Linked DNA regions of Alligator mississippiensis. The protein of the gene in region 2 purifies or fractionates together with the protein of the main gene of each other region. This does not show direct contact. Links are inferred from orthologs where the notes say so. Each region holds a gene or a part of one and is shown on either strand. Other genes may lie near its edges. The genes, in order: EHMT2, CTBP1, ZEB1 and THAP11.

Region 1 (7,847 bases), on a different chromosome or scaffold from region 2:
GGGGGTCCCAGGCCCCCCGCTCCCGCCCCAGCCCCGCTCCTTGCCAGAGTGCCCAGGTGTGGTGGCGAGGTGGGGCTCCTTTAAGTGTGAATGTGGGCGGGGGAGCTGGTAGCTATGGTGATTCCAGGAGAAGGGCTCAGAATTCTCTCCCGGCGCCCGGTGATGACATCCCGGTGCCCGGTGATGGCGTTCGCGACATTGAAAGTGGAGGGTGGGATTTAAAAGCTCCGTTCCTCCATCGATCCCACAGTGCTCCGGGGCGGACTCCCACCCCGCCACCCATCCCACAATGCTCCGAGACAGCCTCCTCCTCCGCCTCCTCCCCTTCAGCTCCCACAATGCACCGGGGCAGCCCCGCCCCCACTTCCCACGCTGCTTTCAGGCCAACACAAAGCCTCTTCCCACAATGCACCACGCAGCCCCCCCTCAACCCGCCCCCCGCCCCCTTAAGACCCCCCCTCTCCCTTGTGTCCAATTTCTATCCGGCGGACAAATAACCGCCCCCCCTTGGTGGGCGCCCTGTCCCTTTAAGGGGCCCCGGCCTCGCTCGGCCCCTTTAATTCGCTCGCTCCGGAGCTGCCTCCCGGTTCGCAGAGGCGGGGGGAACCCGGCCCCCCCACGCGCCCGGTCAGGGGGGGCTGCGGCGGAGGGGGGCGTATAGGGGGAGGGGCTGGGGGGTATGCAATAGAGGGAGGGGCTAGGGGGGTGGTCGTGCCATGGGGGGAGGGGCTGGGGGGGTCCATGCAGTGGGGTGGAGGGGCTCCATGCAGCAAGGGGGAGGAGCAGGGGGTCCCACAATGGGGGGACATGCAATGGGGAGTGGCTGGGGGGGTCCACGCAGTGAAGGGGAGGGCTGGGACAGGGGTCCGTGCAGTAGGGGGCAGGGATGGGGGGGGTCTGTGTAGCGAGGGGGAGGGGCTGGGGTCATCCATGCAATGGGGCAGGGGCTGGGGGCTCCAGCTATTGACCCCCACCTTTCTCTTGCAGCTTCATCAGGTGCACCCCACTGTCGGCCACCTGGAGCTCTCCCAGCTGCCTGCACCCCCCTGCTTGGCCCCTCCTGGGCCCCCCCACCCCCATCTTCCCCAGTGCGTCCCAAACCCCATCTCCACTCTCCTGGCTCCCCCATTCCCTTCCAGCCCTGCCCCCGTCTCTGCCCCTCTCCTTCCCCCCCAGCCCCAACTCCTTCACCCATTTCTTGCCCCTGACTCCCCCACCCTTCCAAGCCCCCCCAAAACCCCTGTCTCAGCCCCCCAGGCCCTTCCAAGCCGCTCCAGCTCCCCCCAAACCCCCCACTTCCCCACAACCTGCCATCTTAGCTCCCCCAGAGCCCCTATCTCAACCCCCCCAGGCCCCTCCAGCTTTTTCCAACAGTGCCCGCACTCATCCAGCCCCCCGAACCCCTATCTCCTGCCCCCCAAGACCACCCACCTGTCCCCAGACATCTCCAAGCCCCCCAAACCCCTATCTCAGCCCCCCAGACTCCTCCCCAAGACCACCCAGCCTGCCCCAGAGCCCCTCAAGCCACTCCAGCTGCCCCCAACCCCCCCAGCCACTTCTGAACCCCCCTCAGACACATCCAAGCCCCCCCGTTTCTTTCCCCTAGACAGGCCTCTAGACACCCCCAAGCCGCTCGAGCTCGCCCACTCTCAACCCTCCCAGGTTCCCCCAAATCCCTATCTGCACTCATCCAGAGCCCTCGGGTCCCCATAGCAACCCCATCTCAGTCCCTCACCTCCCCAGGTCCATCCAACCCCCCATCTCGGCCCCTCCAAAGCCCCTGGGTCCCCCCAGCATCCCCACCCCGGCCCCCCAGGCCCCGTCTCTGGGCGCAACAATGGCATCGGGGCCGGAGCTGCTGCGCTTCCAGCTGCCAGGCCACGAGGCAGCCACGCTGCGCAACATGAACCAGCTGCGGGCCGAGGAGCGGTTCTGCGACGTGACCATCGTGGCCGAGAGCCTCAAGTTCCGGGGGCACAAGGTGATCCTGGCAGCCTGCTCACCCTTCCTGCGCGACCAGTTCCTGCTCAACCCCAGCTCCGAGCTGCAGGTCTCGCTGGTCCACAGCGCCCGCATTGTGGCCGACCTGCTGCTTTCCTGCTACACGGGTGCCCTGGAGTTTGCCGTCCGCGATGTAGTCAACTACCTGACGGCTGCCAGTTACCTGCAGATGGAACATGTGGTGGAAAAGTGCCGCAATGCCTTGTCCCAGTTCATTGAGCCCCGCATCGGCCTTAAGGAGGACAAGCCAGGGGCAGGCGGGGGCCCGCGCCCAGCCCCCTTGCGCCACACCAAACCGGCCCCCCGCAAGCCTCGCCCACCTGTCAAGCTGGAGCTGCGCCTGGCCGAGGAGCCTGAGCCCAAGGATGAGGACGATGATGACGAGGAGGATGACGGGGATGAGGATGCCGTGTCCGACATCTGCATTGTCAAGGTGGAGTCAGCCTATGAGGTGGCCCAGCGCCACCGCAAGCAGCACCTGCTGCAGCCTGCCTGGGCCAAGGATGGGGCAGCAGGGGCCAGCTGGGTCAAGGACGGGTCTTCTACCGCCAACTGGGTCAAGGATGGGTCTTCCACAGGCAGCTGGGCCAAGGATGGGTTGTCGCCAAGCAACTGGACAAAGGAGGGGTCATCGGCGGCCAACTGGACAAAGGAGGGGACATCGGCAGCCAACTGGGTCAAAGAGGGGTCAGCCATGGCCAACTGGAGCAAAGAAGGGTCTTCCATGGCCAACTGGGCGAAGGAGGGGTCATCGCCAGGTAACTGGGCAAAAGAGGGGTCGTCGCCGGGCAACTGGAGCAAAGAGAGGTCATCACCGTCCAACTGGGCCAAGGAAGGGTCGTCGCCGGGGACGTGGGCCAAGGAAGGGTCGTCGCCAGGGACGTGGGCCAAGGAGGGGTCGTCACCAGGGGCGTGGGCCAAGGAGGGCAGCTGGGCCAAGGAGGGCCCCGGTGACGGCGAGGGTGAGGACCCGGGCCCCGAGGCGGCCGGGCCAGCACCAGGTGAGCCAGGCAAGGCGGTGCCAGGTGTGGTGAAAGCCCGCTATGCCCTGGCAGAGGACACGGAGGGCGAGGGGCTCCTGCTGCTGCCCCCGGGGGCCTACCTGGAGCCCGGGCCACCCAGCGGGGGTGGGCACGGGGCCGGGGGTGCGGGCGGGGGGCCGGCGCGCTGTGCCAAGTGTGGCGAGGCCTTCCAAGGGGTGGAGAAGCTGGTGTTCCACATGCGGGCCCAGCACTTTGTCTTCATGTGCCCGCGCTGCGGGAAGCAGTTCAACCACAGCAGTAACCTCAACCGGCACATGAACGTGCACCGCGGCGTCAAGTCCCACTCGTGCGGTGTCTGCGGCAAGAGCTTCACACAGAAGTCCACGCTGCACGACCACCTCAACCTGCACAGCGGCCTGCGGCCCTACCGCTGCTCCTACTGCGACGTGCGCTTCGCTCACAAACCCGCCATCCGCCGCCACCTCAAGGAGCAGCATGGCAAGACTACGGCCGAGAACGTGCTGGAAGCCAGCGTGGCCGAGATCAACGTGCTCGTCCGCTGAGCCAGGGCTGGGTGGGGTGTGGGGGGCCCAGGGGCCTGGAGAACCCAGGTGTCCAGGGTCCAGATCCCGTAGCAGGTAGAGATCACAGGCATCGGGTGCCTGGACCCTGCTGTGGGTGGAGAACCCACACATCCAGGTGTCCAGATCCCATAGCAAGTAGAGAACCCAGGTGTCCGGATCCCATAGCAGGTAGAGAACCCAGGTGTCCGGGTGCCTGGACCCCACTGAGGGTGGAGAGCCCGGGTGTCCGGGGTCCGGATCCCGTAGCAGGTAGAAAATCCGGGTGCCTGGATGGCATGGCAGTGCAGAACCCACAGCAGACAGAGGACCCAAGTATCCAGGTGCCCGGACCCGCCATGGGAAGAGAACCCAGGTGTCCAGACCTCATAGCAGATACAGCAGGGGTTCCCAACCCCCGGTCCACAGCCCGGTGCTAGGATGGGACGGGCTGGCTGCCGGACCAGAAGTGATTGCGGACCGGCAAACTGCGGACTGGAAATGATGGGGATCCTGCAGACTGGCAGCCAACCCTTCCCTACGCGGAGTAGAAACAAGGGTTGGGGTTGGTCCGCAGTTTGCCGGTCCACGGTCGCTTGCCGGCCCTCAGCATAAGAAGGCTGGGAACCCTGCGACGGAGAACCGGGCGTCCGGTGCATGGGTGAGACCCCCGGTGCCCAGGTCCCGTAGCAGGTCGAGATCCCAGGGTCCCGACTCCCCGGCGGAAGGAGGCACCAGGCGTGCAGGAGTCTGGCCCCTGGGTAGTGCAGGTCCCGCGGCTGGAGAGGACTGGGGGGGGGGGGGGTGAAGCGGAGTTGAGGGTGTAATGGGGGGGCCCGGACGCCTGGGGTCTCCGGAGGGGGGGCGAGTTGCCATCAACCAAAGAATAACCACGTGAGCCCGCGGAGGGGCGGGGCCTGGGGGCTCCGGTAGCAGTAGCAGTAGTAAGAGGTATTACCCCGTGGTAGGCGGGGCTAGATGGGGCGGGGCCTAGACCCTGCTGGGGTGGGGGGCGGGCCTGGGCCCGGGGGGCGGGGCCATAGAGGATTAACCGTTTTTAGACTTTTTAACTTTTTTTTTAATTAAAATAATTCAAAAGGAAATAAAATTTGAGACGTTTTTATTGGGGGGGAGGCGGGGCCCGGCCGCTTGGGTGGTCTGCGGGGGCGGGGCCGGGCGCGGACGACCGGGGAGGGGGGGGCCCGGCACCACGTGGACCCGAACAATGGGCCGGGGGGGCGGGGCTCCGGGCGGGGCCGCGGCGCCTTTAAGGCTCCCGCTCGCCGTGACGTCAGCGTCGTGACGTGTCGCCGTCGCTCCACCCCCACCCCCAGCTCTGCAGCCGCAGCCATGGAGGCGGTGAGCGCGGGGAGCCGGCGGGGAGCGGGAGCCCGGGGGGGCGCGAGCCCGGGGGGGGTGGGAGCACCCGGCGGCCGGGCGCGGGGGGGGGGGGGACCCGGGCGTCCGGGCCGGGCGGCGAGGAGCCGGGACGCCGGGGTCCCGGCGGGGCTGGCGGTTGACCCACCCCCGCCCCCAGGAGCAGCTGCCGGAGGCGCTGGAGGCCGCCGCAGACGCAGGGGACGCAGGTGAGATGGGGGCACAGCCCCCCGCCCCCACTCCTCCTCCCAGCCCCCAGCCCCTCCCCCTACTCATCTCCCCCCCCCCCCCAGGGCAGCCCCCCATGGGCCAGGGCCCCCCCCCAGAGCCCTCCGCCCTCCTCTGCCCTGCCGAGGCAGGGGCCAGTGGGGACGAGGTGGCACCGAGGACCCAGGTGTCTGGGAGCAACAAAGAGCCCGAGGCTGAGAGCAGCCCCGCAGCCGGCGCCAGCCCCGGGGGCAGGGGGCTGCCAGGTGAGGGGCTGCGGGTCGGGGGTCGGGAGTGGGGGGCGCCGGCAGGGCTGGGGGCCGGGGCTGCGGGTCGGGAGTGGGGGGCACCGGTAGGGCTGGAGAGGGAAGGGAGCCAACTCCTGGGGACACCTGGGTCCTTGGCCCCATTCTCACTCCCTTCCCCCCCGGTAGGCCACGCTGCCAAGACCCTGCCGTCACCGCCAGTGGGGCCCGGGGGGCCCCCGAGCCGGGCCAAGATGTCACTGACCGGGGCAGGGAAGTCGCCCCCCTCGGTGCAGAGCTTGGCCATGCGGTTGCTAAGCCTGCCGGGTGCTGGCCCTGCCCCCAGCATGGGCCCCGCCCCTGCTGAGGCCCCGCCTTTGGCACCCCCAAGCCCGGAGCCCAAGCCCAAGGTGCACCGGGCCCGCAAGACCATGGCCAAGCCCGGCAACGGACAGGTGGGTGCCAAAATGCCTGGGTTTCCTCTGGAGGTGGGGGTCCCTTTGCCACATGGGTTCCTTCCCTAGCCTGTTCTTTGTGGGTGGGGGGGTCTCCCAGATGCCTGGGCTCTTCCCAGGGGTTCTGCGGTGGGATGGGGGGCAGGGGTCCCAGATGCATGTGTCCCATTTGTGGGATACATTTGGCTGGGTGTGGGGGGCAAGGGCTGGCAGAGGTTGGGGGGTGCCCCAGATGCTTGGGTCCCAGCCTGCTGCCCCCCCCAGGTGCCAGAGAAGCGCGTCTCCGAGATGCTGCACTTCCGCGTCTCCGACGATCTCCGTAGCATCGAGGAGCCAGGTATCTGGGTTGCGGGTCGGGAATGAGGGGTACTAGTGGGGCTGGGGGGGCTGCAGGTTGGAAGTGAGGGACACCGTGAGAGTGGCTGCCACCTCCCTCATGCCTTTGTATCCCCCCAGAACCCGCCAAGCGCCGGAAACTGGACTACGGCCCTGAGTCCCTGCACAAGCGCCTGCCGCCCACCTTGCCCCGTGCCAGCACTGAGGTACCTGCCCCATATGCCTGGGTCCCCTGAACCCTGTCCCCAGGCACCTGGTTGCCTTCCCTTCCACTGCATCCTGGACACCTGGGTTACCTACTCCTGACCCCACCGCTGCAATGTCTGGATCCTTTTTCCCTTGATTTTTCCCCTTCTTTCCTCATAGACACCTGGGTTTCCTTCTTCTGACACCCTCCCCTTGCACCTGAGCTCCCTACCTGGGAGCTCTCCCTCTTGGGCGCCTGGGTCCCCGTCCAGCTGGGAGCCTGGGCCGAGCTCTGACCCCCCCGCCCATTGCCCCCCAGATCACGGTGACGGAGGAGATGGCAGCACGGCCATTGGGGCCAGCGGGCGAGGATCGGGGCCCCGATGAGTGGGAGGCCGAGGTGGGAGCCGACTTCAGCCTCTTCTACGACAGCTACTCAGTGGATGGGCACAATGACTCGGACAGCAAGGTGGGGGCGCGGGGGCTGGGCTGGGCATAACAGGGACAGGAGCTGTGGATGGCTCTGGGGGACGGTGTCAGGCTAGGCCTGGACACCTGGATTCACCATGCTGGGCCCCACCCGCAGTCAGAGGCGGATGGGGCTGGGGAGCAGTTGAGTGAAGAGGAGGAGGAGGAGGAAGAGGAGGACGAGGAAGAGGAAGAGGAGGAAGACGATGAGGACGACGATGATGAGGATGAAGAGTCCGGGAACACCTCAGATAGGGTGAGGCCCTGGTGGGGTCGAGGTCACCAGGGGTGGAGCGGTGTACTCCAGAGCTGAGGCTGGATGGGGTCAGAGATAGGGAGGAGGGGCCTGGGGAGTGGGCTCAAGGGCTTAGATTGCGTGTGGATATGGGGTCAGAGGTCAGGCCTGAGCTCAGCAAAGGTCAGGGCTCAGAGTCTGGGGTGCATGGCCTGTGAGGGTGGGAGTCAAAGGCCTAGCATGGGAGCTTGGGTGTGCAGAGGTCAGAGACCACAGCTGAGGGTTTGGTTTGTGGAGTGTTGGAGACTTAAGGGGAGAGCGTGGCTGGGGTCACAGGGCACAGGTCAGGATGGGGTGGGCATTGGAGGTGGGGGAACTTCAGGGATTATGAGAGGGCCTGGGGGCTGTGGGTTGGGTGTGAGGGGCTTGGGGAGGGCAGGGGGCTGTGGACTGGGAGTGAGGGGCACCAGCAGGGCTGGGGGGTTGCCTCACCTGACCTGCCCCCCAGAGCGCATCAAGCACCAAGCGGAAGGCGCGGAAGCGCTGGAAGAGCGACAGCCCCTGGGTGAAGCCGTCACGCAAACGCAAGCGCAAGGACCCCCGCCCCAAGGACCCCCGAGGTGGGGGGGAGGGTTCTGGGTGTTCTGGGGAATGTTAGGAGGGGACTGGGGAGGGGGAGGATCCTAGGGGGGTTCTGGGTGCAGTGCCCCTGGCAGGGGATTTGGGGGGGGTCTCAGGATGGGAAAGTCAGATGCTGGGGGGCCCCCAAGAACTCAAATATCCCTCCTCTCCCC
Region 2 (7,854 bases):
ACTTTATTGATGACAAGTTATTCTAACACAGTCCATGTATCCGGTATATTACATATAATACTGTTCACACTGTTCATATGATTTCTACCTTGGCAAAAATTTGATCTCATGGTGTATTTTATGCCATTGAAGGCAAAAGGTCATCAATACACATTTTCAATATATAATTACTTGCCCAAAGGAGACAAATGAAGTTTCTGTATTACTACAGCAGATAATATACAAAATATTTACATTTTGATATACATATAACCAAAGCAATTAAGCACTTGCATTGGATGTGGCATTTCTTCCTCCAAAAATTAATCTCTCTTTCAAAATGTAAACCAAAATATTTAAAACAAGTAAGGGCCTTCTGTAGGCCTACAGAATTATGTCAGCAGTGTTTAATTTCAACTAATTGTTAATTCTTATTAATAAAATATGTGAAGAGGATAAACATTAATAGGTTGTGACTTGAACTGGACAAAACCAGAAGATGCAAAATTGAAGTTGACATTTCTTCTTTCTCTCACACCACTAGGGGACAGGAAAAAAGAAACAAGATCTGGCATACACTCCTTCCTTAATTTACCCCAAGTTTACATTTCCTGGCTGTTATAAGAGTCACAAAATGATCATACAACTTAAAAATTGGCCACTGTATATAAAAAGTTAATCTGTTTTGAATTATTAATTAAATGGAAAGCATTTCAACTCTTTTAAATTAGATCAGGGAGGGTGGATTAAGCAGCAGAAACTTGGAAACAAAAACCATAGTCTTTTAAACCACAATGTCATTTCTGTACACAAATGTTTACAATACTTTTATTTATTCTGCTCTTAATTTCAATAGGCAGTTACTGATCAGTGTTCTTTAACATCATTCAGAATTCTGATTTTAACTTATTAACGTGGTTCTTGTCCACACACTTTCTCCATCGATATTTGCATGATAAACTAATTGCTGCAACCTTAAACTGAAAATATGCCAACAATGCATACACAGGCTGTATCAATATTTATACATGCAACGCAGAACATAAATTAGTTGGCATGGAACAATTAAAGCTGCCTCTCTGAAGTTGCAATATTTAAAGGTTAAAGATTAGACATGCTCCCTCTTGTGTTAAACTAAGAATACATGCTGTTTTCTGTGACATGATGGTGGCTCAGCCATCTGTTCCATTAAGCAAATACCTTCAACTTTGGCTACTCATTTCTGACAAATGTTCACCCACAGCTCTACAGGTCAGACAGACTCATTTTGACCACATAACCATATCCACCTGATTGCTTTCTATTTGTGATACGCTGTGTCAGTTGGAACAATACTGAAGATAACTATCAAGCCTATCAGTTATAAAAACTATGGTAAATTGAGATTCTTGGATATATGTAAATGGACATAGCTAAATACATTACATATAAGGTTACATATATCTAATGGTAATAGCTGTAGATTTCGCACCTGAGCCCAATAGACATTTTGTTGTAATGTATTCTTTGCTATTTTCATAGTTCGTATCATTAGCATGACTAGTACATGTATGTAATCCAGCATGTCTATTTAATTGCCCCTTAAAACATACTATGTGAGTCGTATGCGTGTGAGAGAATATAATAGGGAAACACAGTGATGCAAAGATTTGTAGCATACCATTCACTCAATTAGGACTCCAGCCCTCCAAGCTGAACAGCCCAAGCAAACCTCATGGAGCCTCAACCAAGTCAATCGACTTCAACGCACATAAATCCAGTTGTAGGATCTCGCTCTTAGCGCTTGTGTAGACAAGGAAAACAAGGCGGCTGAACACAAAACTACAGGTACAGCTCACAACTATGTTTTTTAACTAATAACAAATTTTAAACAAAGACTTTGCACTCGATGCCAACAGGACAAATCACGTTTAGAAACAAGTCAGCTGGTTGCGGGCAAATTCTAGGCTCCGCGCTAGGTTTAAGCACAGGTCATGTTTTTAAACAAGCTTTGCACGTGCAAGTCTGAAGTCACGCAGAAGGCAGGGTAGAGATACGTCTTCTAAATCAGGGATTTTCAGCCTTTTTTAATAGGTGTTCCTTCAGCAGCTCCTTTTTTAATAACCGTGCCCCCAGCGGGACTGGCAAGTGGCCAGATGCAGAGCGCGGGGAGGGGGTGTCGAGCAGCCAGACGGAGCAGGGGCCTGCTCTCCTCCCGCCCCAGCCCTGCTTCTCAGGCATTGGCACCAGGTTTCCTAGCGCTAGGGTCGGAAGGGACCTGAACAGATCAAGTCCTGCCCTGCGCAGGAATGAGTGCTGGGATCATAATACCCCAGGCAGGGAGGCAGCGCCCACCCCTGCATACCCCTCCCCCCATGGGGGACATGTACCCCCAGCTGACACCCCACTCTAGACCAGCGGTTCTCAAACTTTTTGTGGTCCCAGGACCCATCTGTAAACACCGATGGCCCCAGCGGCCCTCACTCCAGCCCCACAGCGCATGGGGAAGGGGGGTGCACAAGGGGCCATCCTGCGAAGGAAAAGCCTCCATTTCCCCGTGTTTTTCTCCTTGAAAGGAGAACCCCTATTTAAAATTAAAAATAAATAAATAAAAAGTTGGCTGATCCGTTTTTAGTTTGCTCGTCTATTCTCGCGCCCCACTTTTGGGTCGCGACACGCTGCTCTCAGGGGACGCGCAAACTTTTGCGAGCCGAGCTCAGGCGCTTCGGATTTGGCTAGTCCAGCAGCGCTCAACCTGTCAGGCCAGGGATGGGCCCGACACAACCCAGCCGGGGGCCCGCAGGGTGCTTTTTTTTGTCGCTCCCCCCTCCCCAAGCAACCCCGGGCCCTGTGGAGGAGCCGCCGCCGCCTCGGGGAGCCCTGCCCCGGCCTGCCCCGCTGGCAGGCCGCCCGGGCCCCCCCAGCCCGCTCGCGCACGGAGGCAGCCACAGGTGTCCCGGGGCGGAGGAGCCGGGGGTCGGGGACTCACTCTGTCTCCGCTATTTAAACCTCTTCCCGCCGCCTCACGCCTCACTCCCTCTCTCCTCCCCGCGGAACTTACTGGGCACCGGCCCCCTCCCCCCCTCCGCCCGCACAGCCCCGCTCCGGCCAGCGGCCGCGGCGGCTCCGCCCGCCCCCCTCCACGCGCCACGCTGAGCTGCCATTGGCTCCGCGCTGTGCCCATCAGCGAGCTCTGCTCAAGCATTGGTCAGGAGGCGTGCCACTCAAAGGGCACGCCCGCCCCCCTCCTCCAGGCTCCCACCTCTGACCCGCCCTCCCCCCACGGACACCTTGGGGGGTCATTAAAACGGTGGCCAGAAAAATTTACTTTTCGGACCCGCCCCCCTGAGCAGAGGGTCGGTTCTGATTGGCTCCGAGGCCAGGCGCTGTTAAAGGATTGGGTGGCGATGTGTCCGTCACGTCAACGAGGCCCGCCTGTGAGCGCGCGTTCTTCTCTTTCATTTGCCAGGCAGTCCTGGCCCTTTCTCCTCCCTCCTCCAATCCGCTGCCCTTTGACAGTGAGCCACTTCTCCACCGAAAGGGGCTCGATGATTGGTGGAGGGCTCTCCCTTGCTACCAAGTGTTCTAGTGGAGTGTACCATGAGGCTGTTGGAAGCTGGGGGGGTAGGGAGCAGGCGGTGGTTCAGGCCGTCCCCCTTAGGGAGGAGAGGGCGGGGCGGGGCGGGAGGAAGTCCTTGCTGGCCCATCATGCCCCGCGCGCGGTAGGTCGCTCCGCGCGGGCGGGGGGGAGGAGGCGGCGGGTGCCCAATCCAAGATGGCGGTGCAGGAATCAGCTGCTCAGCTCTCAATGACTTTGAAGGTGCAGGAGTATCCCACTCTCAAGGTGGGTGCCGGGCCTGGGCCGCTCTCAGGGGCCCCCAGCCCTGCATTGTGGCCCCCAGGTTGGTGAGGCGGGGGGGGTCCTCACCCCCCACCCCAAATGGCAGGGCTGGTGCCAGGCAGGCTGGATGCTCCCCTCAGGGGTGGGAATCTGCATCCCCCGGGGGCGGGGTGGGGTGCAGGCCCCTGAGCAGCAGCTGAGTGAGGAGGGAGGGGTATGAGGGGCTGCCCTGGGAGGGGGAGGCGTGAGGCAGCGATTTGGGGCTGGGCTGCGGGCGAGGAGCGAGCTGCATGGCGTTGTTCAGAGATGGAGGGATTGGGGGGGTGGGGGATGGGGTGGAATATGGTTCCCCGGCTCCTGATTCTCCAAAGATGGAGATGAGCTGGAGGGGGCGAGGGGAGACGGATGAGCCGAGGGGCTGGGGTTCGGGTGGCTGCGTAGCTCGGGTGCTGGGGAGACACAAGGGTGTGACGAGGGAGGGGGGGCAGGGGGTGAAATGCCCTTTGAAGGGTGGGAAGAAGTGAATTGCGTATCTGGTCCCTGATGTTGTCACCAGGAAAGTGAGCAAAATTTGTTGAAGGTTGTTAGCAGTGACATTTGCTGAAACTGGGGATTGTCCCCGTTCTCCCCTGTGTCCCCATCCCCTCCCCCCATGCAGTGGGAGCGTCGTTTCGAATCTGTTCTGTATGAATTCGATCCGTCTGTTTGCTGCTGTAAGGATTTGATCCTGCACTGGTTAAGTTGGGGGGGGGGGGGGAGCAGGACTGTTTAAATAGGCCTCTTGCATCTGTAATGCCAGTGAATTCTCATGTTTGTTATTTTTTTATTTTTTTAAGGCCTAAAAGGTGCTTTGCAAAGTGCTGTGCAAAGTAAATTTGTGCTGATATCATGCTTTTATATGCAAAATGTCATGCGGTTCTGGTTTATTTGTCTTTGCAGGCTTCTGTCCATGTTATTTCTATCCATCTCTCTTGCTTTTCCTTTCCTCCTCCTCCACCGCCAGCCCTACCCCCTTCACTCCACCCTCCTCCACCACCAGTCCTGCCCCCTTCATTCTGGAGTGCTTAAATGTGACGAGGTCTGGCTTAAAATTTAAGATTTCTTAAAAAGACAGTATGATACTTTCTGCACCCAGCAACTGTGTAAAGGAATTCATAGACAAAGAAGCCCATTTTAGAGCTGTTTTACTGACACATCCATATTGTGCTTAAACAGTTTTTTTTTCTTGTGTTCTTCATTATTAACGCGGATCACTGTTTTATTTTGCTTTTTATATTTTATGTAAGGTGATTTTAGCAAGTGTCACAGATTTTGAGGATGGACTGATTATAAGACAGTTTCAAGTATACTTTTGTTCATAAGGATTTTCTTGCAAAACATTTTGAGAAGAGAATGAAATCTTACTTGTCACAAAATTATAAACAGTCTGAGATAACCTTATATCAGTAGCGTTAACTGTTGTTTGTTTAGATAGCATGTGGAATGCTTACCACTACTTCTTATCTCCTCTACCCCAGAAACTTCCTTTCTGTTGTGTGGTGCATTGCTTGCTTTTTCCTTTTCTCTCCGCCTTTTTTTTAAGGGGGGGGGGGGGGGAGGAGGATTCTGTCTAATCAGAAAATAACTGTAAAAATAGTTGTTCTGTTTCACATGTTTCTTTAAGTTTTTCTGAATGACATTTTGAAGTCTCAGCCACGTTTATGCTAAGATAAAATCCATCTGATGTTAGATGTAAAAAAGAGGAAAGGAAGAAAGAGATTGAGACCCAGGTCCACAAAGGTATTTAAGCATTTTAGATCTACTGAAATGATACAAATTTATAATGCAGTTACAGTTGTGAAATCAGTGGAAGTTAAATGCCTAAATACCTTTTGCAGATTTGGGCCTGTGTATTTTCATCTTCTGTCAGTTCTTAAGCCTCTAAAAGAACAGATCATAAAATGCAGGCATATCATTTTATGATGGCCACTGGGGTGGCAGCTCAGAGATTTTGTTCCAGCTCTGTGGACACTGGCAATTTTCTCCGATGCAAGTGAAGTAGAAAGGAATGCAAAATTATATTTATATCCTTCCTGTTTCCTCCCTTTAGCTTGCTCATGCCAACGTCACTAGATAATAGTTGTGTAATAGCTCTACATTACAGTAGTTCCAGAGAGAAGGCCTTTCATGTGAAAAGTGCTTAAAACTGTTTAGGGAAATCCCTGTTCCATAGCTGAATTGTGGTTGCTTCTGGAGTGGAAGTGCATCAGGCATTCTACAAAGTATGATTTTTTTTCAGGTGAAAGTAAAGTGACCTATTCAACTGAATCTACGAGACAATTTGAGCATACAAAACATAACAAACCAAATTGCTTTCCTGTTCAGGACACAAGGATTTTTTGCATCTGCCCTAGTAGTGATATGGGATCTCTAAAAATCCCCACTGGTAAATAATTATGCTTTTACATCTCAGCTGAAAATATAATACAGTAGAGCTTCAATTTTCTGAACTATTCAGATAGCCAAAAAATGGATGTTGCCAGCCTACATGGTTTGTGGTGCGAGTGGCAGCAATGGTGATTAAAAGCAAGAGGAAAGAACTGTCTTAACAATTATGGAAAAACAATTGAAATAATCAGCAAATTTTAAACCATGGCAAATCTGTTACCAAATTTGCTTAGGAGTATGAAGCTGGAGCATGTTCATCTAATTGCTTGGGTAATGAAGTGCATATTAATTTTTTTTAAATGAACCAGTTTTGGTCCTCATTTAATTCAGATAATTGAAGTTGCGTTGTGTATGGAAACCTCACATAAGGATTTAAAAAAACAACACGGTGGTAACATTCTTGACATAGTTCATTGATAACATATTACTAAACAAGTCATGTCAGAAGACTAGATAATTCAGCTGTTTATTTGGAAATATAATTAGCCCTTGAACAGAATTACTATGACAAAAAAAAGGGATGACTACCTATCCAAATATTTTTACCTGGGCTTGTGAGTAATGACAGGAGGAAGCTTTGAGCTGCAGCTGTAATAACTGCCAACTGAAGCAGCTACACTTTGTTAGGAAAGGAGGCAGTAGCAATGTTAGACATTGATTTCTGAAGGCCACTCTTCAACATTTGGTGTAGACAACTGATGGAGAAGTACTGGAGCTAGACCTAGTGCAGTGTTTGTTCTTGGGTGAAATGTATCCAACTTGTGTAAGTTGTCCCAGAGTACAAGAGCTCCAAGACTGGACAGGCAGGGGAAAATGCACACACGTACTAGTATCTGTTATCTTGATCCCACATTCAAGCCAACTTTCCTTCCTACAGAAACAGAGAAAGGCACACGAGACTGCTTTTGAGACATATCATGTGCTATACTAAGGAATATACTATATTTACTCAAGCCCAAGACGAGGCTTTTTTCCCCCCATTAAACGTGGGGGGTGGGTCTTGTCTTGGATTTGAGTACAAGGCAGAGGGGCAGGCTGTTACTGCAGCTCCAACCCTGGCCCTAACCCAGGCTTGAGGCTGGGGTCAGGGTTGCAGTTGCAGCTGCCCCTAGTTGTAACTGTGGCCCTACGCTGACCTTGGGCACAGAGAACATGGTGACTGGCCCCGGCCCGGCTAGGCAATAGCAGCAGCAGCTCCAGCAGCCCCGTGATAGGGGCACGTGCACCCTGGGGGACAAGTTATAAGGGGATGCAGGCAGTGGGGGACGGACAGGGGACAAGGATCAGGCTTCCTGTCCTCCCTTTGCCCCCTGATCTCCTGCCACTTCTTGCTGCAGTGGCGGGAAGGGGGTGTGAATTTAAGACAACTGTCTGATGATTAAATTCTGGACATGGGAAATCATAACACACTTATAATTTTTCCATATATAGAATTAAATATTGGGGGCCATCTTAAATTTGAGACCTTCTTGGATTCAAGTAAATATGGTTTTTAATTGTCACCCTTTTTCCTCTTCCAGGTTCCTTGGCACCACTTTTGTTTTCAAATCATACATTTTCTACAAGGCTATGTATATTTGTACACAGTCCAGCCCACTAGGGTTTCTGTAATAAAGTTATAATAATTA
Region 3 (8,012 bases), on a different chromosome or scaffold from region 2:
GTTATTTTCGATTCCTTGATAACCAGGGGTCAACCCCCACCCCTCGCTGCTCCCTTGCAGTATGGAGAACACCTGAACACATAGTATGTGACGCCGCAGATGTGTCTGCTGTGCCACATACTACACAGCCGCGCCTGTCTGGAGAGGGCCAAAGAGGCTCTCTCTTCACAGCATAAGGCTGCATCTATGAAGGTTCAGGAACTGCAGGACTGCAGGTTCAGGAACTCCCATTTCCCTTCCCTCCACCTCCCCTCACCAAAGAAAAATACAAAAAAGTCTGAACTGAACATTTTGCTACTCTTTCTGCAGTATCAGAATAAAGTTATTAGGATATGAAGACACACACACTTGGTTGCTTAATATTTTTGTATTTATTGTACTGGTTTTAGTCAATGAGCTCCCATAGCTTTATTTAGGAATGAGCCAAGTGCAAGACAAGGTGAAGTCTTTATAGAACAGCAATCAAATCTTTTGTTTGCTTCCTGTAATGACCAAATCAGGAGGCAGCAAAGGAACCAGCTCTAGAAACAGACAGTCAGTCACACATCTTTTCTTATCTAGAGTTAATGTACCAGACTGGCAGCCATAAGTTTGGACTTCCACTCAGGAAAGAGAGAGCATAGCTGTTTAAAAAACAGAGCATACAGCATCAAAACACTAACGGTAAGTCAATTAGCATTGGTATGTTGTGCCACTATGTGAACACAGCATTAAAGTTTACAGCATACAGCTCGGTGTCATAGTCTACACTGTCAAACTGGGTTCCTGGATGGCAAGTGTAATACCTCCCCTTAATACCTCCCATCCTGTGAGGGGAGGGGGGATGCAGAGGGAGATTGGAACAGAGTAAAATTGATTTACTGCATATCATTAGCACTACAGTTGCTGGAGAATCTACTATACCTTGATCTTTGATTAACAGAAAGCTTTCCATCTAAGAACAAAGTATATTTAGAAGCTTGCCATAGATATCATTTTATTTATCTATTTGTGATAAAGGTTTAAGGGTTAACATTTTTCTACCAATTTTCTTCAGTAAAATTTGCAAGTCAAACATGAGCCCACTGCTGAGAAATCTCTATTATCCAGCATCTATTATCTAACCGATCCTGATGCTTCACTGCACAATGGCTTACAAAGTTGTTTTTAATTCGTAGGGGAAAAAACTGTTTAAATTCTATGCCAAAGAACTAGTTTATAAAGAATCAAAGGCCTTTGATAACAAAAAGGGTGCAAGGATGAGGGCCAAAAGTGATGAAGATGAATGATACCTGGAATGATATAATGTCTTATATACCTTTTGTTTTCTGTCAGAGCTACATGCTGCAGACAAAACATTTCGTGCTAAACAGCCTCAAATCTGTTTTTCTAATATTAAGCACAAAGGAAAAACACTGACAGCAAGCGTGGTAAATAAATCCCTCCCTGGAGAATGAAAGCAGCAGACAGGAGGGGGCTGACATGCATGCAGGAGAAAACTAAACACCATCTTTTTTTTTTCTACCTGCACAAGTTGCCATTTGCTGCAGCGATCAAGAACCTCTTTTTCCCCCCGACGATCTCAAAAGCTAGGTTTTCAGGGAAAAAAAAAATAAAAAATCCACCCTCCAGTCATCTGTTGCTACGTTTTAAGAGCCCGACATTCGCATCGCAGGATCTTTCAGAGAAAAATCCATTTTCTTTCCTGTTCAGGTAAACATGTTTACAGCTCCTGCCCAGACACTGGGTGGTTCAGACTCACATGTCGACACGCATGTCGTCAGCAAGGAGAAAAGCCCCTTCCCCCCTACCCACCCCCGATCGGCGACGTTTTAAATAAGGCAGGAAAGAAGAAAAGCACTTTCCAAACTTACCTTGAAGAAAGCCACATCAGCAGCAAAACAGTAATACTGATGAGGAATTAAAATGAGCACCTTGACATATACACACAGACACGCACACGCACACTTTATACTCACGCCAACAGAGTTAGTAGACGTGTGTGTATGTATACACACATATACGTACATACACACACACGTGTAAGTGTGCGTCTGTATAGGTCTACACACACACTTTACACCCCCCGCATACGAGAGTATATTTATGTACACTGGCACGCACGCACTTAGATGTACATACACGTATGTGCATGCAGACACACACACACGCAGGCGGGCGCCGATACTCGCTATAAAAAGCGCATCAGTGCCGGCGCCAGCAAGTTGCTCGGCCCGGAACAAGTGGCCGTGGCGCGGCCAGGCCCGGCCCGGGGCAGCCCGGCAGCGATGCCCCCGCCCGCCCGGCAACGCGGCGGGGCCGCAGCCTGCCCAGCCCGAGCCGCACAGGAAGCGCCACATGAAAGGCAGCCTGGCCCGGGAGGGGACGGAGCCGCCCTGTGGCCGCCTCCCCCGGGCAGCCCCGCGCGCCGAGCCGCGACGCCGTCCCCCGAGCGGCCCGGCCCGCGGGCTCCCCCCGTGCCTTATATAGGCTGCGGCCGCTCCGCTCCAGCGCCCGGGCCCGGCAGCGTCGGCCGCGCAGGTAGCTCCGCCGCCGGGGCGAGGCGAGAAACTTCATGGATCGCCCGTGTCCCGCTCCGCCGGCCGCCGAGTCGCGCCGGGGCCGGGCGCTGCCCGCTGCGGCACCGCCGAGCCGCCCTCGCGGGGCGCGCACAGGTGGGAAGTTTGGGAGTTGCGGGCGGGCGCGTGTAACGGTCCCGGCGGCGCCGCCAGGCGGAGGAGCGAGCGGGCGGGCGAGCGAGCGAGCGGGCGGCGCCAGGTAGCGGATCGCAGCTAACGGTGCGGCGGCGCCCGGCTCGGACGGGACTTTCCACTTGTGCCGCCCCCGCCCGGCCCCGGCCCCGGCGCCGGCCCCAGCCCCGCGCCGCCCCGAGGGGCCGCGGCCCCGGCCCCGCGCGCACTGACCGTTATTGCGCCTCGGGTTCGCCTGCTTCCTGCGCTTACACCTGGGGCCATCCGCCATGATCCTCGCGCTTGTGTCTAAATGCTCCAGTCACCTCCTCCCCCGCCCTCCCCCGCCCTCCCCTCCCCTCCCCCCCGGACCTGGTTTACGACACTGGGTGGTTTTACTTTTACATCACCTTCCCACACCTAGCGCGCGGCGCGGCCGGAACCTTGTTGCCAGGGGCGACGGGCGCTTTACGGCAGCGCGTTTGAACCGGGCCGAGGGAAAAGGGACGCCCGCAGGTACTGGCGGGGTCCGGGGGGAGGGCGCGTGTGCGGGCCGGAGAGGAGAGGGGCCCCCGGGAGCGGTGGGGCCGGGCCCCTCTCCGTTTGCCCCCGAGCCGAGACGCTTGCAGGTGCTGCCTCTGCCCCGCGGCGCCGCCACCTGCTCGGGGGACGCGGCAGCTGGCGCGTCCGGGCACGGGCACGGACAGGGACAGGTGGCCCCGAGGGGGACGGCGCAGGGCGCTGCGATACCGCCTGGCGGGTCCCGCCCGGGAAGGGAACCGCGAGGAGAAGCTGCGCCTCCCCCGTGCGACGCCTGTTCCTGGGGCCAGCCCGGACCTGTGGGCTGCGTGAGTGTGACTGTGTGTGTGTGTGTGTGTGTGTGTGTGTGTACAAACTTGTTTCTCTTACCACCGACAGAACAGCCCCTCCTGAAAACTAAGTAGATGTTATTTTTTAAGTAATTTGAAAACAAAAATGAAAGACTCCTCCCTCCCCTCTTTTTAATGACTACATCTTGAGCTTGAAGTGACCAAAACTGGAGGCCTGACACACTAATTGACGCTGGAGCATTCTTGCCATATGCTGACTTTTCACCTTGTACTCCACTTAGGACCCCCAGAGGTGGCCAGTCGGTATCCCATTTGTCCCTAGCCGCGCTCATGTCCTAGTTCTCCTGCTCAGGAACAGTTCTGTACTATATGACCTGAACTTATAGAAATGTTGTCAAATGGTAGGAGGAAAAGGACCTCTTCGACATGAGAGATGCTTAGCATCTGCAGCTTCTGAAGAAGCCTATAACAATTACAGGTGCTTAACTCAAGCAAGTTATTTTAGGTTAAGTCCGTGAAGCTTGAACAACCCAGTTTTTCAGTGAGATAATCATGGGCGGATACCTGCCCATTAAACAAAGGCAGAAAGATTAGGGATAAGATGGAAATGTTTAGAACTAGTAAGTATTCTGAATATTTTTCTTGAGTGAAAAGTAAGTAGGATGTATATACATTTTACAATACTGGTAGCAATTGAGCAGTTATGTTTTTGTTTTGTTTTTTAACTGAAGTGATGTTTTGTTACTTAAAAGTATGCCTGAGACTGGAAAAAAGTGGGATTACACAAATTTTTAAAGTCTGTTGTGACTGATCCATCCAAAGTGACCTGACTGCGCCTCTACTTCTCATTCATCTAAAGGCTATGTTTTAAAATGTGAGTTATGGTTTTGGGGGTTCATGTGCACAAAACTTCAGCCCTCATGCATATGCACATGTCAGGATCATGTATATGTTCATGCTTATGAAACTGAAGTTTAAGATCCATATTTAAATTCAGTATTTAGTTAGTGTAAGTTGTCTTGGCTTCAGTTGACTTGCACTAGCTGTGGACCTGGACCTGCCCTCTAAGCTTTTTTAAAGATGGGTTATAGATCCTGTAATAGAAATTAATTCACTTCTCACAGATTTCTTTGCATTTGTTTAATTTAATATTTGCCTGTAGTTTCTGAAACCCAAGTGCAAGGGTACTTCAGAATCAGAAGGGACATGGAATATGCAATAAAGAGTGAAATAAAAAACGGAAAATGTTACTGTTAGGGGAGTGAAGTACAAGAGGGGAAACGGCAAAGATGGTGCAAAATGATGCAGAGCTTTAATTTTTATCTGGGGTTGTGGTCCTACAAGCTCTTCAATAGAAGCAGACATCTTTGTGGAACAGCTTGTAGGTTGAGGCCTGCAGTATTAGCCACACACATAACAAATACATGTGTACTCTCTAGATTTAATTGTTTAGGTGAATGTCACTTGGTATTTACGTCCTACAGTTCTTTCTGCTTTTAGAAGGCAATTGGAGCAGGTGGAGAAGCTCTGTGGTTTCATTTACCACTTGAACCCAATGTTAGAAGATTTCATAAAATTTCTCTCTTGCACACATGGTGCCAAAATCTAAACAAGGTGACTTTTTCAGTTAGCTCCTTTTGATTAAGTTATGTAATGTTCATCTCTGAATAAAAGCAATATTTTTTATTTTTTATACTCTTTATTCTGAAAAAGTTAAAATCTCCACCCAGTACTTGCACTGACGGCAGGGAGGGAGAAGAGGGGCACTGTTTCCTTCCCCAAAACCTCCTGACTGCTTTGAGAGAGGATTGTTTCTCTGTTGCTGCTTCTTTAATCTTCTAGCCACTCCAAGTGCTGCGGTCTGTGTCCTATTCTTCACCTTTGGAGTTTTTCCCCTCACTTATACAAGCTACAGTGACTATTCAGGGCCTTACCTCTAAGAGATTTGCAAGCAACAACAGAGAGAAATTGATGGCAGTCTTTACTACCTCCAGCACCTGAAGAGGAAAAAACTGGCAAAAGGGTTCTCACTTTCATACTTCAGTAGCATAGAAATAATAGAGATATTGGACTAGTATGTAGACTGTTAAAGATAACACTAGTAAGCTCCTTAATGTAAACCAGTTGTATGTTTGTGTCCAAAAGATCAGGAGCCACAAAATTAGGATAGATTTTACATAAATTGGATGATTAGCCTCCTACTGCCACTTAGTGTGGAAAGCTTTGTAGTCACAATTGACAAGTAGGTATGTAGATCTCTTGAACTAGAGTATACTTATGGTAATCACCAAGCAACTGAGGGAATCATGCATCCTCTTACAAAATCTTACAAAATATATTCTCATTTACTGTATTAAAAATTGTCATAATAAATGGTAGTCATCATCAATCACCATACTTCAGTTTTAACTGATCCCTGATTCAGACTAACTGTTAAATGCAGTAATACCATCTATAGGATGCCTGGGCACATCTTAACAAGGTTTTGATTGCATCAATTTATTGTAAATAAGAATTAAAAACACACTATTCTCTACTACTGGCTTTAGCTTTTAATCTGACCTTTCAGTTAGGAATTTACAGATTAATAATTTAACCCTTTGTAAAGGTCTGGGCAAAGAAGTATCTTTTGTTGCTTTTTCTAAATAAAGCCAGATTTGTAAGCATATTTCTTTAAAGAGAGAATTTCAGAGGTGTGGGCAACTCTCACAAATAACCATATGAATTTTGTATGAAATTATTTCCAGGGGCATAATGGCATAATATGTTTGCATGTTTTAGACCTGAAAGTTTTCTTATGCAAACGAGTAGCAAATTTCAGTGTTAATAGATTGCCTTCCTTCTGAAGTCTATTTGCACAGAGAGACAAAAATGATTAAACTGTTTTAATAGTTACATTGGTATAAGTCTACTGTAAAGCCCTTTTGAAAATGGTATATTTTTCACGAATGATTACCATGCTGATCTTTGCTTTTAACAAAATGTGCACTGATTGTATTATACCAGGCTAAGATCCTTTTGCTATTCAGTTGAACAAAAAATTAAATTGTAAAAATCTTCTGTTTGTTTGTGTCATCCTTGTGTACGTTAGACATTCATTAAATAAAGTTCCACATGATACCCATTAAGTACTGCTGTAGAGATTTATGGTTTTTACATGGAATATGCATTCTTTTAGTCAGTAAAAACTAACTGATTAAACTGCTTTTTTCCGCTTTCATTTCACTTTTTTATTGTGTTGTAATTTTCTTTACTAACATGTTCACTTTCACTTGACTTTGCCTCCTTGATCCCTAGATCTTTCTTTCTCATAAAGCACTTTTTGCTTTCACTGCCAAATGAATTTCTATTTTACAAGTATATTCATCACTTTACTATATGAAATCATAGTTTGAAGAATTAGAATTACTCTAAGAGGAGCGACCAAAAAGAGTTTGCTGCCTGAAAGTGTCCTTCGAAACAAACTGGATTACAGTTGTTTTTAATGCAATGAAGCGTGACTTCTAGGAGTTTCAGTTAAGAACCTGTGGTGTATTCTAATCAGTTCCTTGATTTTTATTCTTTGCTTTCAAGTCAGTGTCATCTGTTTTTAAGGTGAATGTTCTTACAGTTGATGAATCAAAATGGAAAAGATCCTTATAGATTATAAATGTATTTAGAATAGACTTGGTAGATATTTAACAAAAAATAGGAACTTTTTTTCTTCCTTAATTATCTTTTAGATGAAACACTTTTTGTTTCACCATTTGAATACTTTACCATGAGCTTCCCTCTTCACATGAGCCCCGAAGCTAGGATTGCCAAATGTGAATTCTGGTCCAACTATGTATGATTTCAAAAAAATTAGAAAAGCACCATCTGCATTTTAATAAACTGTTGAGATTTCTTGCTTGTTAGTCAGAAGTGATTCTTTGAAAGACTAATAGTGAACCTGCCTGATGTTAACCACCACTTATATAAATTACACCTGCTTTGGACTTCATGAACTTGTGTATTTGATTTTTTTGGAATTTTTCTTTGTTCATTTATGAGCATCCAGACTATTTCTTAATCACTTTGATTGTCTTGCTTACTCTTCATTCCCCTTCTATTTAAAATGCCCATGGAGATACGTCTGTTGCTATAGGCAGTTCATCTTTGCTGATGTTATATATCACTTTTTGATAATTTGTTCCATAAATGAAATGTATAGCACACATGCCAGCTTTACTTTCTGGATCTTATCACAAAAATCCTTTGTATATAGCATATTTGGAATAAACATTTTTGATTTGCAAATGCACTCCATAACTATGCTATTTCTACTTTGGGAAATAAAGAATATGCTCTGGAAAAGTCCTGTAATCATCTCAAATGCTTTGTGTCCAAAACATTGTGTTGACCATTTCAACAGCATGACTCATTAATTTTGGGCTCAGGTATCCATTGTGTGTGGTGGTAGTGTTTTGTTTTGTTTTTCCTTATAGTATCGTGGAACATAAGTGAAGAACATCTTCACAAGCAACTTATCTAT
Region 4 (7,982 bases), on a different chromosome or scaffold from region 2:
GTGCAGCAGGCGGTCCTTCTCGCGGATCTCCTCGCGCAGCTGGGCCTCGGCCAGGCGCAGGCGGCGGATGCTGCCCTTCATCTCCTTCATCTTCACCTCCAGCAGAGCGATGATGTCCCGCTGCTCGTTCAGCTTCCGCAGCAGCTCCTCCGACGTGGTGCCCGACGACAGCGAGTACGAGTGGTCCGGGGGGCCGCCCTCCAGCGGGCCGTCCTCGCCCAGCGCCCCCGCCGCCACCAGCCGCACGGGCACCGGCCCGGCCGGCGGCTCGGGCCCGAAGTCCACCTGCACCGTCAGGTCGATGGGCTTCACGTCCTCGCCGGCGCCCCCTGCCGGGGCCTGGCCCGGCTGCAGCTGCTGGGCCTCGGCGCCGTCCTGGATGGCGAGCAGCAGGGCGGGCGCGGCGGCCACCTGGGCCGGGGGCTGGGGCGGGGCCGGGGGCTGGGGCTGGGGCAGGGCCGGGGCGGCGGGGCGAGCGCGGCGGGGGGCGCGGGCGCCCTTGCGCTCGTTGACGCCGCGCAGCGGGAAGATGGTGGGCACCCGCACCAGGTAGGACTTGCGGCCACCCTGGAAGTGCTCGCTGCAGACGCGGTGGCCCGTGGTGGGCTGGAAGGTGCTGAAGCAGCCGCTCACGCCGGCGCGGGACACGTTCTTCAGCCAGAGGCGCCGCAGCTCCTCGTCCTTGGGGAAGGTGTAGAAGTGCAGCGCCTTGTCGCGGTGCGAGTTGTTGTAGCAGCCCGGCACGCAGCACGTGAAGCCCGGCATGGCGGGGGGCGCGCGCGGGGCCCCTCGGCGGCCCCGGCGGCTGGGACGGCGGGCGCGGGGCCGCGCCGAACTACAGCTCCCACAAGGCCAACCGCGGCCTTCGCCGCCGCCAACGCCGCCCGCTCAGGGGAACCGGAACTACCCGGCCCACAATGCACCGCGCGGGCGGGCTCGCCCCGCGCCGGAACTACCCGGCCCACAAGGCGGCGGGCGCGGGCCGGAAGTGGGGGCGGGAGCAGCGCGCCCCACGGCGCTCCAGTGCACGGTGAAACTACAGCACCCACAATGCACTGGGCTCCCGCGGCTTTATTGTGCCGGAGCCTCCTCCCACCATGTACGGGGACGCCCCACCTAAGGAGGAGCCGAGCGGGCGGCGGAAGTGCGCAGTTCCCAGGATTCTAGAGCGCAGGCGCGTGGCTTGCGTCACTACAAGCCCCACAACGCACCCCGCACCGTTCCAAGGCGCCGGGACAACCACCAGTCGGCGACCGCGGCCGCTAGTCCCACAATGCTGCGCACTACGCAGGCGCACGCGTCGTCAGCCTGACCTAGGCGGCTGCGGCCAAACCGTATTCCTCGGCAAGCGCTGGTGGCGGGCCGGCCTCGGGGCTTGTTGGCGCCGCTTCCCCTAGGCTCGGGGGCGTGGGGCACCCAGACCTGCTGCGAGACGCGCGTACGCTGCTGTCAGCTGCGGGCGGGAGGTGACGGGCCCCGGCGTGAAAACAGGCACCTTGCAGCCGTCGGTCTGCTCGGCAGGCTCCTACTCCAGCCGCGTCTGTCCCTTCTGTTACTAGTAGTGTCTGCGTCAGGTGCCTCCTCTCGATTAATACACTGAAAAGCCATGGCAGGCTGTGAAGGCCGTCAGTGCCCAGCCATTATTTATCTATATTATTACAGCACCTTGAAGCCCCAGCTCTGCACCAGGATCCCACTGGCGTACAGTACGTGCTGTTAAGAAAGCAGAGTTCCTAGAAAAGGAATGCTTTAAAACTCGAATCTGACCAGCAGCATCCGTGTTACTTCTCATGATGCACGTGCCAAAAATAAATGCCTTGATTGCCACTTCATACGGGTGGCTGCTAAGGGGGCTGAGGGGCCCTGGACAGCCCTGCTGTTTGCTGCTGACTAGGGGGAGGCAAAAACAAGTTTAAAACCATGGTTTCAGCTTCCCTGCTGATCAGGAGGGGGGGGTTCTCTGTTAATTGGGGATGGGGGGGGAACAAGGTCCATGCAGGGGAATATGCAAGATTAAAAGAGCCACCACACTCTCCTTATGCTGTGAATTTGATTGGCCTCTACCTATGTAGCTTGGCAGTTGCACCACACCGCCATGGCCACCAAGGTGAGGTGCCCCCCCATCCACCCAGCAGCAGTTAGGGCACAACTCTGCACCACCATGCCTCAGCATGGCACCCCCTCCCATGCTGGGTCCACATGCTGGGCTGTGAAGGTAGTTCCTCTGGAGCTGATCCAGTTTTAGTGCAGCCTGATGCCCACTGTGGGTGCAGAAATCTTGGGGGTCACATGTCTCCACTGTCCTCCCAGTTTGTGGCCTGTGCCCCTCCCTGCCACACCTGCGTGGCTGGTGGTCACTGACTTACAGGAGCTGCTTCCCACTGCTGCCTGACCACCACATGCACGAGCTTGCGCACACATGCATGTGGTACCCCCTGCGTTGATTACTCCTCCACCTCCCTGCAGCCCCTTGTAGGCTGGAACTCTGCCAGCCTCCAAAGGGAACCTACCATATTCTGCATTTCTCTTTTAAGGAAGAAAATCTGATTTTTCACCTTTAAAAGAGAAAATCCGCATTTTTCTCCATTACAGGAGAAAATCCACGTTTCTGCAGCAGATGGAAAAAGCTGGATCACTGCTGCTAAACAATATGTCTCTGAACATTTACCAGTACTGTTTTTCAAGTTTCATAGATCTAGTTCAGTGCTCAACAGAGTATTTTTGAAAGCGCAAGGTAGGTCAGGGTCTGAAGAGAGAGCTCTACCCGTTTCTCAGACGGCAGGAGCAGAGGGCTGCAGTGCCTAGGGAAACCCTCTGTATTAAGTCATCTAGACCCTTAATATATCTGGGAAAGATGCAGGGAGCGGAGATTTAATGCATTTGTTTTTCTTTTTCTAAAGTAAGCTCAACCTCCAGAACCCCGGGGGGCGCCAGCCTGGGGTGAGCTGCCAGGCCCCACCTTAACTGGGGCGGGGAGGCCTTTGTAGGCCTCGTTATAGGATGATCCCTGTGGGGCTCAGAGCGGCAACCAGGCCGCCCCCGAGAGCAGGGAGGTGTGATGCGCGCAGGCTGGACCCGCGTCCCGGGAGCGGCCTCGTCCAAACCACGCAGCTGCGGACAGTCCCGCAGCACAGCTCGTCCCAGCCTACTGCGCATGCGCGAGGCGGGCGCCGCTGCTGCTTACACGGCCCTACAGTTCACGCCGAGGAGCGGGAGGTCAAGGGTTCTGGAATCACGTCTCCCATCAGGCACCGCGCTTCTCGCGAGACTTGGCTTGAAGCAGCAGGCGGGAGAGTCGGCTGTGCCGTTGGGCTGAGGCGGAGGCACGGCGGCAGGAGCGGGCCCTTGGCGGGGCTGTCTCTCTCCGCCTCCCGCCCGCGGGCCAGTCCGGGCGAGGCTGTGTCCTGCTGCTCGGGGCCGGGGCTGCCTGGCTTCTCCCACCCGCATCCCTGGCCGCGCGGGGCGGGGTGGCGGGTTTCGCTCTTGCCCCTCGCTTGGTGGCCGGCGCCTCTGCCCGCTGTAGCCGCAGCCATGCCGGACCCCGCGGCTGCCCCCAGGACCAGCGCCTCCGCTGGGCTCGGCCACGACTCTGGCGTGTCCCCGTCCGCGGTCCCGCGCCGCGCAGCGGAGGAGTGGGCCCGGCCGGCGCCCAGGCGGAAGGTGCTTGTCGATCCGCAGCGCCGCCCCCTCGCCTCGTCCCGCTCCGCTCCGCTCCGCTCCGCTCCGCGCGGCGGGGAAGCCGCTTCCCCAGGCGTTTCGGCTCCTCCCGGACCTCCCCCAGGGCCCGACCCAGCTTGGTTCCGACCGCGGGTGAAAGCCAAGCGCGCTCGGGACAGCGGGGGGGCGGGGCGGGCCGCGCGCGGCGAGGGAACGAGTGGGTTGATGAAGTGAACTGGGGTGGAGGCAGTTAATACCTGGGGGCACGAGGGAGGAAACGGCCAGTCCAGGCAATGAGATGAGAAACCATAGTCCCTGCGGAGGCAAAGCTTAACTCAGTCCAGTCTGTGGGCGATTTCTTTGCAGTGGGGTCTAAGTTGCTTTTTCAAGTTTAGTTGTTTAAGTACAGCTGCTCAGAGGCTGGTGAGGGAATGTCTGTGTGGTTACACTGCTCCACCACAGGCTTTTGGCTGTTTCTGAAATAGATGTTGAAGCTCTTCCAGGGCTTTCTTCTCTGGAATTGATAGTTCTTTAGTTGACTTTCCATAGCAGATCTTCTCTGTGATACACGGCTCGTGCTCACTCATGCTGCTGTCTCTTCTGCAGTAATGTACTGAGACTGAGTTCTGTTGTGTGGGCACTGCAGTCTCAGAGATTGTCTTCACCCTGAAAAACTTAGGACGTATGTCAAGGGTGTCAAACATGGCCCACTCACCTGGGTCATCTGGCCCCAAACTTTTGCCTTGACTCTGGCCGCAGTGCTGGGATTGGCATGGCAGCTGCAGCAGCACCTTGGGGAGAGCAGCATGGCTGGCAGAAGCCTTGCTATTGTGACCGAAGCCAGGAGAAAAGACTTGGCTCAGCAGGCACTGGCCCCAGTGCTACTGAAGCTGTCTGCCTCCCAGTGAAAGCCAGGGCACCGTCTACTGCCATAGAAAGCCTTGCCATGGCCAGGTAACGGAGATTTTCCACTCACCAGGGCATGGGCTACTGCCATGGAATCCCATGCCTATCTGTTGCTTGGGCACTAGTTGCCAGTCTGGCACCACAACCAGAGGCCTAGAACCTTGGATCAGGTTGCAGTAAAGGGGCTTCTGCTTGTGATGCTGGTGGAGCTGCTAGTCCCCCAGCAAAAGCTGGGGCTTGGGCTGTTGCTGCAATGGTGCAGTTCCTGGCCACTGTGACGCTTGAGTTGAAATCCTTTTACAGCCACCTCTTCTCCCCTGCCCTCCATGCCTTCTGAGACTGGGGTGATTCCTAATCTGAGGAAGGCTGGGGAGATGTGCCTAGTCATTCCTGATCCCAGCAGGGAGTGGAGCAGCAGGGAAAGACTCCCTGTACTTGCCCCAGACTGGACTCTGGGGGTTTGGGTGGAGCAGCCTCTTCTACTCTGCTTGTAGTTTCTAAGAGCGGGGGGACCACTGGGGCAAAGCCTCTTGCTCCTACCTCAAACAGGGCAATCATTCTGTGGTACAGTATTTTTGTGATTTTCAAAATATAAGAACTCTGGTTCTGGGAGTTTCACAAGCTTATCACTAGAAAATATGTCCTTAGCATGTTACTCTTAAGGTTCTGATTTATTGATGAATGTGAATGCTTAAAGTAGTTCTCTTTTTGCTTTCTCTACTAAGCATCTGTCTGATTCGAGGAAACAGAAACCAACTATGGCCCCTGACCTTGAAACTGCCACACCTAGGTTGCTACTCAGAAAAATCTTCCAGACTCGTAAGTATAACCCCCTTTTCTGGAAAATCAGACATTTCACAGACATTAGGGCTGGAAGGGACCTCTCGAGATCATTGGGTCCAGCCCCCTGCCCAAGGGGCAGGAAGTCAGCTGGGGCAAATGATCCCAGCAAGATAGACATCCAAGTGTTTCTTGGAAGTGTCCAGAGTAAGTGCTTACACCACTTCTGGGAGGAGTCTATTCTAGGCTCTGGGGACGTGGATGGTAAAGAAGTTTTTTCTTATGTCCACCTAAAATGGGCTTTCCGGAGTTTGTGACTGTTAGACCTTGTCTTCCCTTGGGGTGCCCTGGTGGAACAGACATTCTCCCAGCTCCTGATACACACCCCTTATGTAGTTGCATCTAAGATGCAATTTTAAAAGAGTTGAGAAGAGAGAGATGTTCATAATTTTTACTCTGTTGGGGGTGGGGGAGAGAAATTCAGACCTTCTTTTACGAAGACCATGCTTTTATACAAAATGTTAGCTATAAGGTTATTAGAACTGTGAAAGGCTTATACAAGAAATTTTCACTTTCAAAGGTAAATGCTTGACCTTTGCAGAACAGCAAAAAAATCTTGCCTCTGTGTCTCCTGTTATCAGAATTACTGAACAAGTAAATCATTAATGCCTTATCCCACCTACTTCATAGGAATTGCATGAAAATTTCCAACTTATGACCGCCTTGGGGTGGGCATTTATGAGCTACCAGCTGTTTCCTCATTTGTGTGTTTGGTTTTTTTTTTTGTTTTTTTGGTTGTTTTTTTTTTTTAATTTTAGTAACCCTAAATAAGACCTAAGCAGCAAGATGCCTTTCTGAAAAAGCTTATTTTTGAGAACACGTTTCACTTTCATTGAGGAGCAGATCTTAAATGGTTCTCTCCATCTCGACTCCATTGCTGCACTCTTAATTGGTGAATAAATATATATTTAAAAAAAATTTGTGACCACTACTTTGAAAAAGAACTGAAGCATGTTTCTCTTGCTTCACTTGCATCTTACCACTTTTCCTAGGTTCATTTGTGGTAATGAAGTACTTTGTTTTGTTTACAGAGCCAGAGGTTTCACCTGTGGTTCCTAAAATAACTGAGCCCTGGGAACCTAGAGAGTCTGGATCAGAAACCCACTCAGAAAGGCTTTCTAATACGTAAGTACATTTCTGTTAGTCATGAAGTTGTAGAGGAGGCTGTTTTGCCTCCCCTGGCAGAAAGTTCAGAGTTCCAATGTGGTGTGCAAATGCTTCAAAAATATCTGTTTAAAGGTCTGTAATGTAAATCGTTTTAGCTATATGAAGACATGATTTCTTAGGATGTGAGCACCAAGGGTGCTCACTCTTCAGACCACAGACCAGATCCAGCTTTCCATCTAGCCTGCAGGGCCTCCCCATGGGTGTGGTGCCAAATCTCGGGACCCATGAGGAGCCCCAGGCCCTGTGTGCTGGATGGGATGCCCAATTCCAGTGTGCAGGGCTGGCTGGGTTGGGGCAGCACCAAGCCCCTAGTACTCAGTCCTGCACGGTGAGTGGAGGTAGTGCCATTCTTCTGAATGAAGCAAAAAGGTTGAGCACCATTGCAGTAGACAGGGTGCAGGCCTGCAGTGCCAACTCTGGCCAGTCCAGGACTGGACCTGCATGCAGTGCTTGCCCCAGGTGGACTGGGGCAGGCGTTGTATATAGCACAAATCTGTGACCAGCTGGGGTGAGAGCTGTATCTGGCATGTGGAAGACCCACGGACCTATCTCCTCCCCAACTCTGCATGCCAGATCCCATTTTAGCCAGTCCAAGGCTTTACTACTTGCTCCAGAACCTGTACTACACATAGCTTGTGCCCCAGAGTGGGTCGTGCAGTCCCGGACCAGCCAGGTTGGTCACTGGATCCAGCATTGTTGGGGGGAGGGTGTCCTGAACTGGACCTGCACAGGTGCTGCATATAGCATAGGTTCTAGAGTGGCTGATGTGTGTGGCGCACTTCTTGGGGCCTGCGCATGGACCCTGTGTATTGTTTGTGGGAAATTTCAAGACCCAGGGCCAGCACTGGGGGCAGAGGGGGGCAGAGGATATGGCTTCATAGCCTGGATCTTTAACATTCCTGCACTATAAGTTTCACTGCTTTGTTTTAGTAGCATGAAGATACAGCTGCCAGACCTTGTTTCTGAGGATACAGCTATAATTACATTTCACACGAGTAGGAATAAAAGGAAATTGAGCATTTCTGAATTTGAGAGAGCAGTGGATAAGCGATCTTCTCAAAACCTGGGTAAGGCCTCAGTCGGGGGCTCCTTGCTTGAGTCTTCACATCATCATTTTCAAAGAGCTTCAAAAGATTCCTTTTGAACTTCGTAGCTGCAGTAGTTCGCTGCTGAGTGTCTCTTTCCTATGCTTTTCAGCACCAGTGGGAAAATGTTTGCAACTTTTTTTTATTGTAGATGGGACTAAGGCTACTATTAAGCAGATGTAGGGTGACAAGCATCGGTTATTAGCAATTAAACTAGCTTGTATAGTGGTAACAGGCCCTGGTGCATGTTGGAAGTACAAAAAAGACACTGGAGTAGGTCAAAGGCCATCTTTTTTATATTAAGAATATAGGTGGTTAGGCTTTTAA

What was found.
Region 1: the proteins of CTBP1 (region 2) and EHMT2 purify together in Homo sapiens (affinity purification with mass spectrometry; 4 studies listed by BioGRID and IntAct, counting the BioPlex papers as one, with this or other methods). This does not show direct contact. The link is inferred for Alligator mississippiensis from reciprocal best matches to the Homo sapiens genes CTBP1 and EHMT2.
Region 3: the proteins of CTBP1 (region 2) and ZEB1 purify together in Homo sapiens (affinity purification with mass spectrometry; 9 studies listed by BioGRID and IntAct, counting the BioPlex papers as one, with this or other methods). This does not show direct contact. The link is inferred for Alligator mississippiensis from reciprocal best matches to the Homo sapiens genes CTBP1 and ZEB1.
Region 4: the proteins of CTBP1 (region 2) and THAP11 purify together in Homo sapiens (co-immunoprecipitation; 4 studies listed by BioGRID and IntAct, with this or other methods). This does not show direct contact. The link is inferred for Alligator mississippiensis from reciprocal best matches to the Homo sapiens genes CTBP1 and THAP11.

What each region holds. Positions count from the first base shown.
Region 1 is NC_081834.1:62,582,445-62,590,291, forward strand, and holds the start of EHMT2 (histone-lysine N-methyltransferase EHMT2), read left to right. Parts: upstream 1-4,837; 5' UTR 4,838-4,894; coding exon 4,895-4,903; intron 4,904-5,081; coding exon 5,082-5,130; intron 5,131-5,214; coding exon 5,215-5,394; intron 5,395-5,562; coding exon 5,563-5,828; intron 5,829-6,092; coding exon 6,093-6,165; intron 6,166-6,284; coding exon 6,285-6,370; intron 6,371-6,669; coding exon 6,670-6,819; intron 6,820-6,936; coding exon 6,937-7,074; intron 7,075-7,561; coding exon 7,562-7,673; intron 7,674-7,847. Other genes in the region: ZBTB12 (zinc finger and BTB domain-containing protein 12), read left to right, coding at 1,838-3,547. UniProt on the Homo sapiens protein: Histone methyltransferase that specifically mono- and dimethylates 'Lys-9' of histone H3 (H3K9me1 and H3K9me2, respectively) in euchromatin.
Region 2 is NC_081825.1:16,478,102-16,485,955, forward strand, and holds the start of CTBP1 (C-terminal-binding protein 1), read right to left. Parts: upstream 3,012-7,854; 5' UTR 2,948-3,011; intron 1-2,947. Other genes in the region: E3 ubiquitin-protein transferase MAEA, read left to right, coding at 3,734-3,802. UniProt on the Homo sapiens protein: Corepressor targeting diverse transcription regulators such as GLIS2 or BCL6. Has dehydrogenase activity. Involved in controlling the equilibrium between tubular and stacked structures in the Golgi complex.
Region 3 is NC_081828.1:192,323,069-192,331,080, reverse strand, and holds the start of ZEB1 (zinc finger E-box-binding homeobox 1), read right to left. Parts: upstream 3,011-8,012; 5' UTR 2,962-3,010; coding exon 2,904-2,961; intron 1-2,903. UniProt on the Homo sapiens protein: Acts as a transcriptional repressor. Inhibits interleukin-2 (IL-2) gene expression. Enhances or represses the promoter activity of the ATP1A1 gene depending on the quantity of cDNA and on the cell type.
Region 4 is NC_081833.1:34,252,482-34,260,463, forward strand, and holds the start of THAP11 (THAP domain-containing protein 11), read right to left. Parts: upstream 3,006-7,982; 5' UTR 766-3,005; coding exon 1-765. Other genes in the region: CENPT (centromere protein T), read left to right, coding at 3,532-3,660, 5,289-5,382, 6,435-6,528, 7,501-7,637. UniProt on the Homo sapiens protein: Transcription factor, which has both transcriptional activation and repression activities. Also modulates chromatin accessibility.